Saccharomyces cerevisiae S288C: one gene and its partner. Changing the gene in region 1 together with any one later gene gives a genetic interaction. Each region holds a gene or a part of one and is shown on either strand. Other genes may lie near its edges.

Region 1 (4,524 bases):
GTGTTATTCTAGTGCAAAGAATAGTGCTAGAATTAGTTTTATTTACAAATAGGTTTTTTAAAAGTACTAATGGAACAAAAAAAGTCCAAAAAAAGCTAATATGCACAGTGAATAAATACACTGATAAGACCTTCTCTTTTTTTCTAAATGTATTTTACTGTCTGAACCGTCCATTTTTTAACATCTCATTGGCAATCAATATGTAAAGTTACCTTATTATGTAGAGGTTTTTCTCTTCCATCAGTGAAAAAAAAAAACGAAAAAAATAGAGCTTCACGTGACCTTTTTAAGCCAAATAAGAATAATGCTAAAAGGAAGTTAATTACTTTACTAATTTCCAGTATCCACAAGCATGAGGATATTAAGGACTTCTTATGAAATCCATTTATTGTGTATAAAACGTACGTATATTCTTTCTTTAGTTCATCGATTTTTAGATTAGCGCTAATATTATTATCCTAGACAAAAAATAGTTTAATAGGGTTTCTCTCGCATTCTTTTCATTCTTTATTTAGAGCATCCAGCGCAGTTGTCGAAGAGTTGGCATCTAGTTGTCGTAAATCTTTGGATGATTCCAGATAGGCACTTAACCGTCTTTGCTGCTCCTTATGGATTTGATCTTCTGTATCATCCTGGTGCTCATTTTCGTTGTCCTCGTCTATGGCACTAGTAGAAAACACTCGTCTTAAGAACCTTGAATTGTCAGCATTGTGGACCTCATCCGCTTCATCAGCTTGTACAGACAACGGAGAACGGTCTGCCGAGTGAGTTCTATAACTGAGACCATGCGTTGGATGAGTTGTCTTCCATGTCGTGCTTGGTAATTCCTCAACCAGACTTGCTGATGGTAGTAACTGGTTAGTCTTCACTGAAACATTACCAGGGTTAAAAAATTCAATAAACCTCAAGACTTTAGCAATGACCAAGGTATCGGCATCTTTGCCCCAAATCAAATCCAGGTGTTCATAATTGTCAACTTTAACATCAAAGACGGAGTTGAAGGGTAGATTTTTTTTCATCACATCAATATCAACTAAAGAATCTATGCCACCATAAATTAAAAGAATGGGAATCTTGATATTTGTTCTAGTAGGAAAATTAGCAATTTGGTAAGGCCTAGTTAAGGAATTTAGCATGTTATCAGACTCTTCAAACATTTGAAATTTCTGAGATCTTAATATTTGGAACCAGTGAACAATGGATTTTACACTGGTCGTTGAATAAAGTTTTGCGTAAGAAGCAATCTTTTGTCTCGGTAGAATGTTAAACGACTTCCAATTGAACAGTATCTTGTTTGCGATATCGATACACAAATTGAAAAGTGTTGGATGTAAAGTTCTTTGCCAAATGACAGCTGAAGGTAACACAATTTTCCTACCAAAGAAAAGATACATAAAGCCGGGCGATGATTTGGCCAAGGTATCGACAATTCTGTTGTGCAACCCCTTTGGAGTCATAGCGGGTGCTATGGCTATAAAATGGGAGACTTTTCGATTCAATTTTTCACTCAACGAAAATGCAGCAAACATTTGAGCAGAGCCTTGAGAGAATCCGATGCAGATGACCTTGTCCACTTTTGTTATATCTAAGATGAATTCAATTGAGTTTGGAATGTCAAAGAACGCAAATTCGTCGATAGAAAAATCCCAAAACTTGTTCGATTTTGGTGGTTTGTTCAAGTGGGCAGTTGAATATTTATTACCTCTATTATTTCCCATCCAGACGTCGTAACCTAAATCATGCAATACAAACGGTAAGTTTTTATGTCTTTCAATATTGCAACACCAAACATCAGAACACATCAAAAGACCGTGATGTAAGTATACCACTTTATTGTTAAATCTGTTTTTAGAAATCGGTGGGATTCTATGCAGTGTCAAGATATAATTGTCTTCAGTTCTTACCAAATGATCCTCGACAGATATATCAAAAATTGCACACATTTCATGGATAGTTGGAGCTGACCTTAACTTTTCTTCGATGGTATTGTCATCGGAGGACGTTGAGAAATTTATTAGCCATTCGAAAAGGTTAATCATTGGTTGTGGTATAAGTTTAAGGACTGATGAAATAATGCTTTCTATGTATACCAAGACGACTATAATGTAATCTGTTATCGATAATCTGCCTAAAAAGGGGAAGTACATTTTGCCAAAAGACAGTTTTTTAAAATAGTGCTAGAATAATAAAGTTTTGTTCGAATTGTTTTCTTTCTTCTTTCCTTGTTCCTTAATATCTCTGCACACCTAGTTATTCCTCGAAAATAATTCTTCTTGTATTTACTTTATACAAAAGAAAAATGACCGCCTATGTTTGCTTTTTCTTGCCAGTAACAAATAATAGCTTCAATAAGTATCCGGAAAGAAATTATCTTGATATCTGTAAAAAATCACTGATATTTTGTTGAATATGATTACTCTTGCGCTATCTTTTCCTGTTTTTCCTCTTGTTTGTTCCTTTATTTTCTCTATTGTATTTTACAGAAAGGCAAAAAAATAAAAAATGTGCCCCTAGTAAATATAGGTTTGTGTTAATCGGCATTTTGGGTTATAAAGATCTTAAAGAATAAATAAGTGCGGTATTGGGTCATATATAGGAACGTATATATAAAATTGGCTATATATATATTTGTGTGTAGAAACAGGTGCGTCGCCTTAAAGAATCATAAAGTTAATAAATAAGTACCGAGAACGGCGGTGAAACCAATGAGAGCGTAACCAGTTCTGTAAACGCCTTTCAATGTCAATTCCTTAGCGGTATCCCAGATCAAGTGTCTAATGGCGCCACCATAGTGAATTGCAAATAAGTAAGCAAAGGAACCCTTGATGGACCATTCGGTAATCTTGGAAAACTTCTGATGGTACCAATTAGAAACCTTTTCGGTAGTCAATCCAAGACCTAATAAACCAGAGACTCCGAAGAGTATAGTAAACAAGTAGAAACCTAGTCCCATAAGCACCAACGAAATACGGTGAAGAGAAGACAGGTACCAAGTTAATTGTGGCTGGTAAATGGTCAGATGTGGAGAAATAGGTCTCTTTGCTCTTTGCTTGTTTAATATTTGTTCTTCAGCAATTGCCGCTTTGGTGTTCATTTCACTGGCCACATTCTTCAATGGTGAGGTAGAAAGGAAGTTTGTTCTAGCTGTATTAAAAAGCAGCCTCCTCGAGGAGCTCAAGGCAGCTGCTCTTGAAAAGGCGGAGGGTTTCAGTAATAGAGCCGACTTATTCAGTCCTAACTTGACCATCATTGCAGACATCGTTTATTATTCTTAGAGCTTGTGATTGGCAATTTTTGGTTGGTCCTGAGATTTCTATGCGGGGATCTCGATATCATAATGCCAGTGCACATTTATACAAGTACCAAACGCTTAGAGCGGAAAACGGAGCGGGCTACCGCAGCCAATCAGAATGGACCTGGTCAAAAGTTAGATGATGCTTAAGACTACTGAATGGTATACAAGGTAATATATAGAAGGCTGTTGGTATACAGCTTTCAATCACAGATAAAAAGTATAGGTATACTTATGGGAGGAAAACTTTGAATTCTTTTCTTCTCTTTTTCACCACTAGAACATCCTTTAACTGCAATGCCGCGGAAAACATAGGTTTCATTGAAAGAGAATCCTGTTATGATATACTCAAAACTATATGTATATAGATATATATATATATATAAGTGAGGGAAATTTCTAGAACCTGGAACTCAAGCCCTCTTATTCATTGATTTTTCATTTTTTTTCATTTTCTGTTTACCATATTTCGGTTCCTCTTCTAAGGGAGAGACCTAGATAGCGGGCAACATCATTAAATGCATCATCTAGCTCATCTTTGGAGAACTTTTCCAACTCCTTAGAAATCTCTTCATCAGTGGTCTCATTAATGTGAAAGGCTTCCACCTTACCTTCCAGGAAGTTTTCAAAATCTTCTTGTTCCTTTAGAGTTGGTGGCAATCTTTCGTAGAATTTAGCAAGTCTTACCAGTTTTAAGTCTGGGATGTCTTTAAATTCTTTCAACGACTTAGGGAACACTCCGTCTGAAATAGCAGGAATATCACCATCTGCATTAGGCAGTGGCGCTATAACGTCATCATCATCTTTTTTCAAAGAGTTAACAAGTCTTCTGATAGACCTTTCCTCGATGAAATTTAGCTCACCCTGTAGTTCTTTGACTAATTCCACTAGATCTTCATTTGTGGCAAAATCAGTGGCATCGAATTGAGTAGCGGATCCTGATTTCTTCGAGATAGATTTAGAGAATTTCGAATCAAAATCAGTTACGTCGTGCTTTTGTTTATCTAACTGCAATTCCAGCACACGCTCTCCTGTCTTAGAGATAATCAGACTTTGCTTCTTCACTAAGTCTTGTAATTCAGAGACTTGCTTCTGCAGTAATTCAATTTCGTTAGACATTTTCTTCCTGCTATTTATTTATGTGTATTTACTTCCTTTCTTAAAATGTACTTTATCTGCGGAATACGAGTAGTAAGACAAGATATCTCAAACGGTTACTAATTTGAACGGCT
Region 2 (6,209 bases), on another chromosome or scaffold:
TAAGTAGCAGCTCTCAAGCCAGTGAAACTTCCAACGATGCCGACGACGAAGACGATGAAGATGAAGAATATATTGATCTAACGCTTTTGCAGCAGGGCCAGTATCATGCACCAGGTTACAACACTCTGCTCCCCCCACAAGATGAAAGTACAAAGGGCAAGAAATGCCTAATACTGGACCTGGATGAAACCTTGGTACACTCTTCTTTCAAATACTTACGATCTGCGGATTTTGTTTTGTCTGTGGAAATAGATGACCAAGTACACAATGTCTATGTCATTAAAAGACCTGGTGTGGAAGAATTTTTGGAAAGAGTCGGAAAATTATTCGAGGTTGTAGTCTTCACGGCTAGTGTCTCTCGATACGGTGATCCTTTGCTTGATATATTAGACACAGATAAAGTCATTCATCACAGATTATTCAGAGAGGCTTGCTATAACTATGAAGGAAACTATATAAAAAACTTATCCCAGATTGGAAGGCCGTTATCAGATATCATCATTCTCGATAACTCTCCGGCATCTTATATTTTTCATCCCCAACATGCAATACCGATTTCGTCCTGGTTCTCAGATACTCATGATAACGAATTATTAGATATTATTCCTCTTTTAGAAGACCTTTCTGTGAAAACCTCACTGGATGTGGGCAAAATTTTGGATGTAACAATATAATGAGCACTTTCGCCCGAATTTCTTGTGGCCCCCGCTACCAAAGAATGAAGATGAAGAAGATGAAGAAAAGAACCAGAGAACAAAAAGTTTTTTCTTTTTTTTTCTTTTTTTTTTTGGCTCAACACACTGTACCCATGCTGTCCCTTGACATTTTTTTTTTCAACTTCTTCTACCATTACGACACAATGTATTCATATATAAATTCATAATCTAATAAAATGGTAATTTTAATTTAACGGGACTGGCGTGAACATTTATCAAATACATGTGAATTAAAAATTAAAAAAATGCAAATATTGTACATATGTGTATATACAGACAACATAAAACAGAATAACTACTTTTCTTGAGTATCACGTTTGTCATCTTCCTTTCTTCTTTTCCTATCTCTTCCTGAATCTTCATATTTGTGCACGGTACCAACGATTTGTTTCTTCCTTTCGGAAATGTATGGCATATCCTTTCTAGTACGCCTTTCATTAGCTTCTCTTCTCTTAATAGAACTCAACTCAATGTTCTTAATTTCCTGAGCCTTTTTGATGACTTGTGGCACGTGTCTATGTCTACTGATTCTTTTGATCTCCGGCATATGTCTAAATCTTTCTTTTAATTTTTCGTCATATTCTAATTTATTCTTTTCACGAGTAGTTTTGACATTAGACCTCTCCCAAGCTTTACTTCTCCATAGCCTAACATTCCCATCATCAGATCCACTGATAATATATTTAGAATCCATGGAATATTTAACCTGGAAAACATGCTGCATTCTCTTCGTATGATAAATTTCTCTCGAATGTCCGTGATTCGTCTTATATATTCTGATACTCTTATCGTACGAACCAGTAACAATCTCATCCCCCGTAGGAGAAAAGTCAACATCCATTACTGCGCTGACGTGATCTTTGAATACATTCAATGAACGTGATAAATTCCTCATATCATAATAGTAGGCGTTATGATCTTCATTGGCAGTTACAAAGTTGAAGGCCTCCATTGGATTCCAGCAAATAGCATTCGTCCTCATTGTTTGAACAATCTTTTGTGTGGGGGAGTTGGTTCTCAAGTCGTAAAGAACAATAGAATTATCACTACCAGTACTGGCCAAGATATCTGTTTCATTTTGATTGAATTTTAAACTAGTAATGTTGTCTGCTCCCCATGATAGATCGGAAACTGGCTTCAATCTGTTAACGTCCCAAAGATGGATCTTGGCCCCACCTGTGGCAAACGTGGAGTTTTCTCTGTGCGAATCGATACCTTGAAATGCAGATTCACCGTCAAAAGTACGAATCAAACCTTCCTCGTTAGTAACGGAGTCGTTATCACTGGAGTTTTTATTGGAGTAATCATCAACATTTATTGACCATAGCTTGACAGTTTTGTCATCACTGCAAGATAACATAAAATTTTGGCTCTTCAAATCTGGCTTCTTGTCATGAAAACGAGGCTGTGTCACACAAAGACCAGTAACGAGTCCATAATGCGCCTTAAAGGAAACAAATTCTTCTCTAGTAGACATGTTCCAGTATTTAATCACACCATCTGCAGAACCAGTAGCCAATTTATTCAGACTACCATAATTTTTGGCAATAGCATAAACACCATCTCTATGACCGTATCCTAACTGACCCACAAAGGGTTTAGCAAACATTCTTTCCAATTTGGTGGCATTCAAAGCTTTAGTATATTCACGTGCCCTTTCAAAAGGATGCAATTCAGGGTTCAAATTCCTGGGCATTTGAGATTCCTGCGTACTTTTAACAGGGACATAGTCATCAGCACTTCTTTTAATGGTCTTAATCTTCATTTTAACGCCTTATCTTCGCGAGTCAAACTACGTTAATGAAATGCGGTTGCTTTATACAACTGTAATGTAATTCAAACTCATCGATTTTTTTTCAATATCAAATTTTTCAAAAAAATGTATCGTTATGCACGGTGATGTCCCAACTCCCGACAATTTGTGACACAATACTTCAAAAAAAAAGAACAATTAAAAACTAAAAATTTACTAGCCCTCTATCTATGTATTCCCAAGTATAATTTATATTAACCTATATATCATGCTTCCTCTTCAAGCCTTCTCAGCAACCATTTCCAGCTCCGTTTCCACCTCTGTGTCCGAACAATCACTTTCAAAGGCGCTGGATGGCTTCTTGGAGTAATAGTTGTTCAAATTCTGTAAAATTGGTTTACCAATTCTCTCTATGACATCATGTGCCCATAGGACATCAATATGGGCATACTCATCAATGTACCAGATCTTGTAGTTGACATTCGACTCCACATTGACGAAATGATTGATTAGTCTTTCTCCGTCCACCAATCTATCTTGCTTTGGAACAAACAAGTAGATATTTGGGGCCTTTGATGCGTCTGAAAACCACTTAACATTGTCGGGGAACATCTTATGGGAACCAAATTTAAAACTTACCTTGTTGGGGTCGGGTGACAGCCACCATTGCATCAACTTCACTGAAACATGGACTGGCGAAAACAGGAAATGGCGATCTCTTAATGCGGTATCCCAAAGGGTATCGTTCCAATCAAACAGGTAATTGAAGATGGTGTAACAAACAAAGGAGAACAAGCTCTCACCAACGCACAAGTTTCTTACAATCATCATTATCTCAAAAAAGCTCGTTTCACCAAAGAACCAGGGATTTTCGATTTCCTTTGTCATAAGCTTAACAAACAATTTCTCGTTAAGTAAGGGACCAGGATACACTGCGGGGGCCAAGGCAATATAGTTTGCGATCTTAGAAGTGAAAAAAGATTCTTTAGATCCCGAACCGGGAGGGAAAAACTTATCTTCGTTGACCAAGCCCATAAACCCCTGTGTAGTGCCCTGAGAATGCGAGATCAAAGTAAGCTTTTCAAACTGCGTCTTAGCTAACACGGTATCAATCAAAAGGGTCAGATCGTACTTAACCATCTCGCGAAGGTCCCAGTCCCACCTGGAAGCTAGTGTCGGTACTTTCGCTTCGTTCCATTCCGGCCTAAACCCGCATCTGTTATTCCCTAACCATATGTCGTAACCGGATTGATACAGAAAATATGCCAGAGATTTTCTACCATTGGATGCGAACGAACCACTGCTTTGCAAAAGGCCATGTAGCATCAAAATGGGTGGCCTCTTCTTCTTGTCAGAATCTGTCGTTCTATATTTTGGTATCAAGTGCCACAAATCTATAACAAACCCATCTTCGGTCTCCAATCTAAATTCCTCTATTTGAATATTGTACTGGTTAAAATAATAATTAAGATCCGCAACTAATGTCAAGTCTTCCGATAAGATTAGATTCTGTAATGGATTGTCGCACTGTACAGGAATTTTTTCAAAAACCGGTTCATGATTGGCAATTTCATTGCTACTATTATTGAACTTTCCTTGCGTTACGCCTTCGGTAACTTTTTCCTTCTCGATAAACCTAAAAATAAGCTTTGTCAAAAATTTGTGAAAAAGGTTTTTATGCAGTGACGAGGACCCCACTTCGTGGTTCTTTTTACGGACAACCGTTCTTGTATGATCGTAGACGATACCGTTTTTCTTGTCATGTTCCAGATCGAGGTATGGCGTCGCGTATGCATTGGTTCTAGTGAGAACATGGTCATGGTGTACGTTTCTTTTACTTTCGTCATCAACTTCGATTTGGGTCGATGAACTCCTAGTGTCTCTGTGCTCATTTATAAAATGGTGTGCCAGCGCCAGAACAAGCACTACTGCCATAAAACAGCAGACTATGAACGTTGCTAGTAAATTCCTAGCTCTTTTCAACACCGCAGAAACACCCATCGTGTGAATTGTGCAGTAAATATACCTATATATAAAACTATTACTTTATCTGCAGCCATCTATATTAAAAAATAAGTATTTTTGTGTATAACAATAGATTTCTATATATATATGTATATATATATATATATATAAATTTAGATTAACCACAATATCATTTTATCGCTGCATTTTTTTCATCTTCTTTCGTTCCTTCGCGTTTCTTTTCTCGTATATAATAAGCTTTTGCACATTGCCTGCGATACGTCCGAAAAGGGAACGTTTTTTCCCGATCAGACCGCCCCAGAACTTCTCGAAGAAAAGTGCCCGAGGGCAGAGCAGCAAGACCTAAAAAATTCGTGCCGGGGTTTGAGCTAGAAAAAGAGGGCTAAAGATAAACATCCGATCGCTATCTACGGTAATTGCGCACTCTGTTACCCTGAACTGCATTTCTTTTTTCCTTCTAAAAATTGTGGAGAGAGGAAGATAATTTCCCAAATGTACCATTAGCACACTTGAGAATGTATATTGGATGTATGAAGCTTGATGAATAGGAGAAAAAAAAAAACAAAGAAAAGAAGGAAAAAGAAAAATAAGTGGTGCCTGCACATATTTGAATATCTACTGTAAATAGTATAACACTGCTTAGCTAATTTTTTTCTGGTCATCTGGTCTCTAAAGAGAAACATAAGAAAAAGATAGGAACATTGAAAGGCGGTGAAAAGGAAACTTCCTTGCTACTGATATATCTATAAGCATAGAAGTACGCAAGCAAACAAGAAAACAAACAAGAACTACGCATTTAAATTTCTTCTGAATAACGCAATATTGCGGGTATAAATGGAAATGAACATGGATATGGATATGGATATGGAACTCGCATCCATAGTTTCTTCTTTAAGCGCCCTGTCCCATAGTAACAACAACGGCGGTCAGGCCGCCGCGGCCGGCATTGTGAACGGCGGTGCTGCTGGATCACAGCAAATTGGCGGCTTCAGAAGGTCGAGTTTCACCACGGCAAATGAAGTAGATTCAGAGATCTTGCTGCTTCACGGTTCCAGTGAATCTTCACCGATCTTCAAGAAAACCGCCCTATCAGTTGGTACTGCTCCGCCATTCTCCACGAACTCGAAAAAGTTTTTTGGTAACGGCGGCAATTATTACCAGTACAGATCAACCGACACTGCCTCCCTGTCATCCGCATCGTACAATAACTATCATACTCATCATACTGCGGCTAATCTCGGGAAAAACAACAAGGTCAACCATCTTCTGGGCCAGTATTCAGCTTCCATTGCTGGTCCCGTTTACTACAATGGCAATGACAACAACAACTCTGGTGGGGAAGGGTTTTTTGAGAAGTTCGGAAAATCTTTGATTGACGGTACAAGGGAACTGGAATCTCAAGATAGACCCGACGCTGTCAATACTCAGTCCCAATTCATATCAAAAAGCGTCTCTAACGCCAGCTTAGACACACAGAATACTTTCGAGCAAAATGTCGAGTCTGACAAAAACTTCAACAAATTGAATAGGAACACTACTAACAGTGGTTCGCTTTACCACTCCAGTTCAAATTCAGGCTCATCTGCGTCTTTAGAGTCCGAAAATGCTCATTACCCCAAGAGAAATATCTGGAACGTAGCCAACACACCAGTATTTAGACCTAGTAACAATCCAGCCGCTGTTGGGGCCACAAATGTCGCGCTTCCTAACCAACAAGATGGGCCTGCAAATAACAATTTCCCCCCCTACATGAA

The links.
Region 2: of TGL1 (region 1) and YEH1, changing one enhances a phenotype caused by changing the other (phenotypic enhancement), as found in Saccharomyces cerevisiae (3 studies listed by BioGRID).

Annotation. Positions count from the first base shown.
Region 1 is NC_001143.9:178,402-182,925, reverse strand, and holds TGL1 (sterol esterase), read right to left. Parts: upstream 2,148-4,524; coding exon 501-2,147; downstream 1-500. Other genes in the region: succinate dehydrogenase cytochrome b subunit SDH3, read right to left, coding at 2,663-3,259; MRP8 (Mrp8p), read right to left, coding at 3,752-4,411. UniProt on the Saccharomyces cerevisiae protein: Mediates the hydrolysis of steryl esters (SE). Preferentially hydrolyzes ergosteryl and zymosteryl esters. Required for mobilization of SEs from lipid particles/droplets, thereby playing a central role in lipid metabolism and sterol homeostasis.
Region 2 is NC_001144.5:123,795-130,003, reverse strand, and holds YEH1 (sterol esterase), read right to left. Parts: upstream 4,471-6,209; coding exon 2,749-4,470; downstream 1-2,748. Other genes in the region: PSR1 (phosphatase), read left to right, coding at 1-674; rRNA-processing protein SOF1, read right to left, coding at 1,012-2,481; mRNA-binding protein PUF3, read left to right, coding at 5,290-6,209. UniProt on the Saccharomyces cerevisiae protein: Mediates the hydrolysis of steryl esters, thereby playing a central role in lipid metabolism.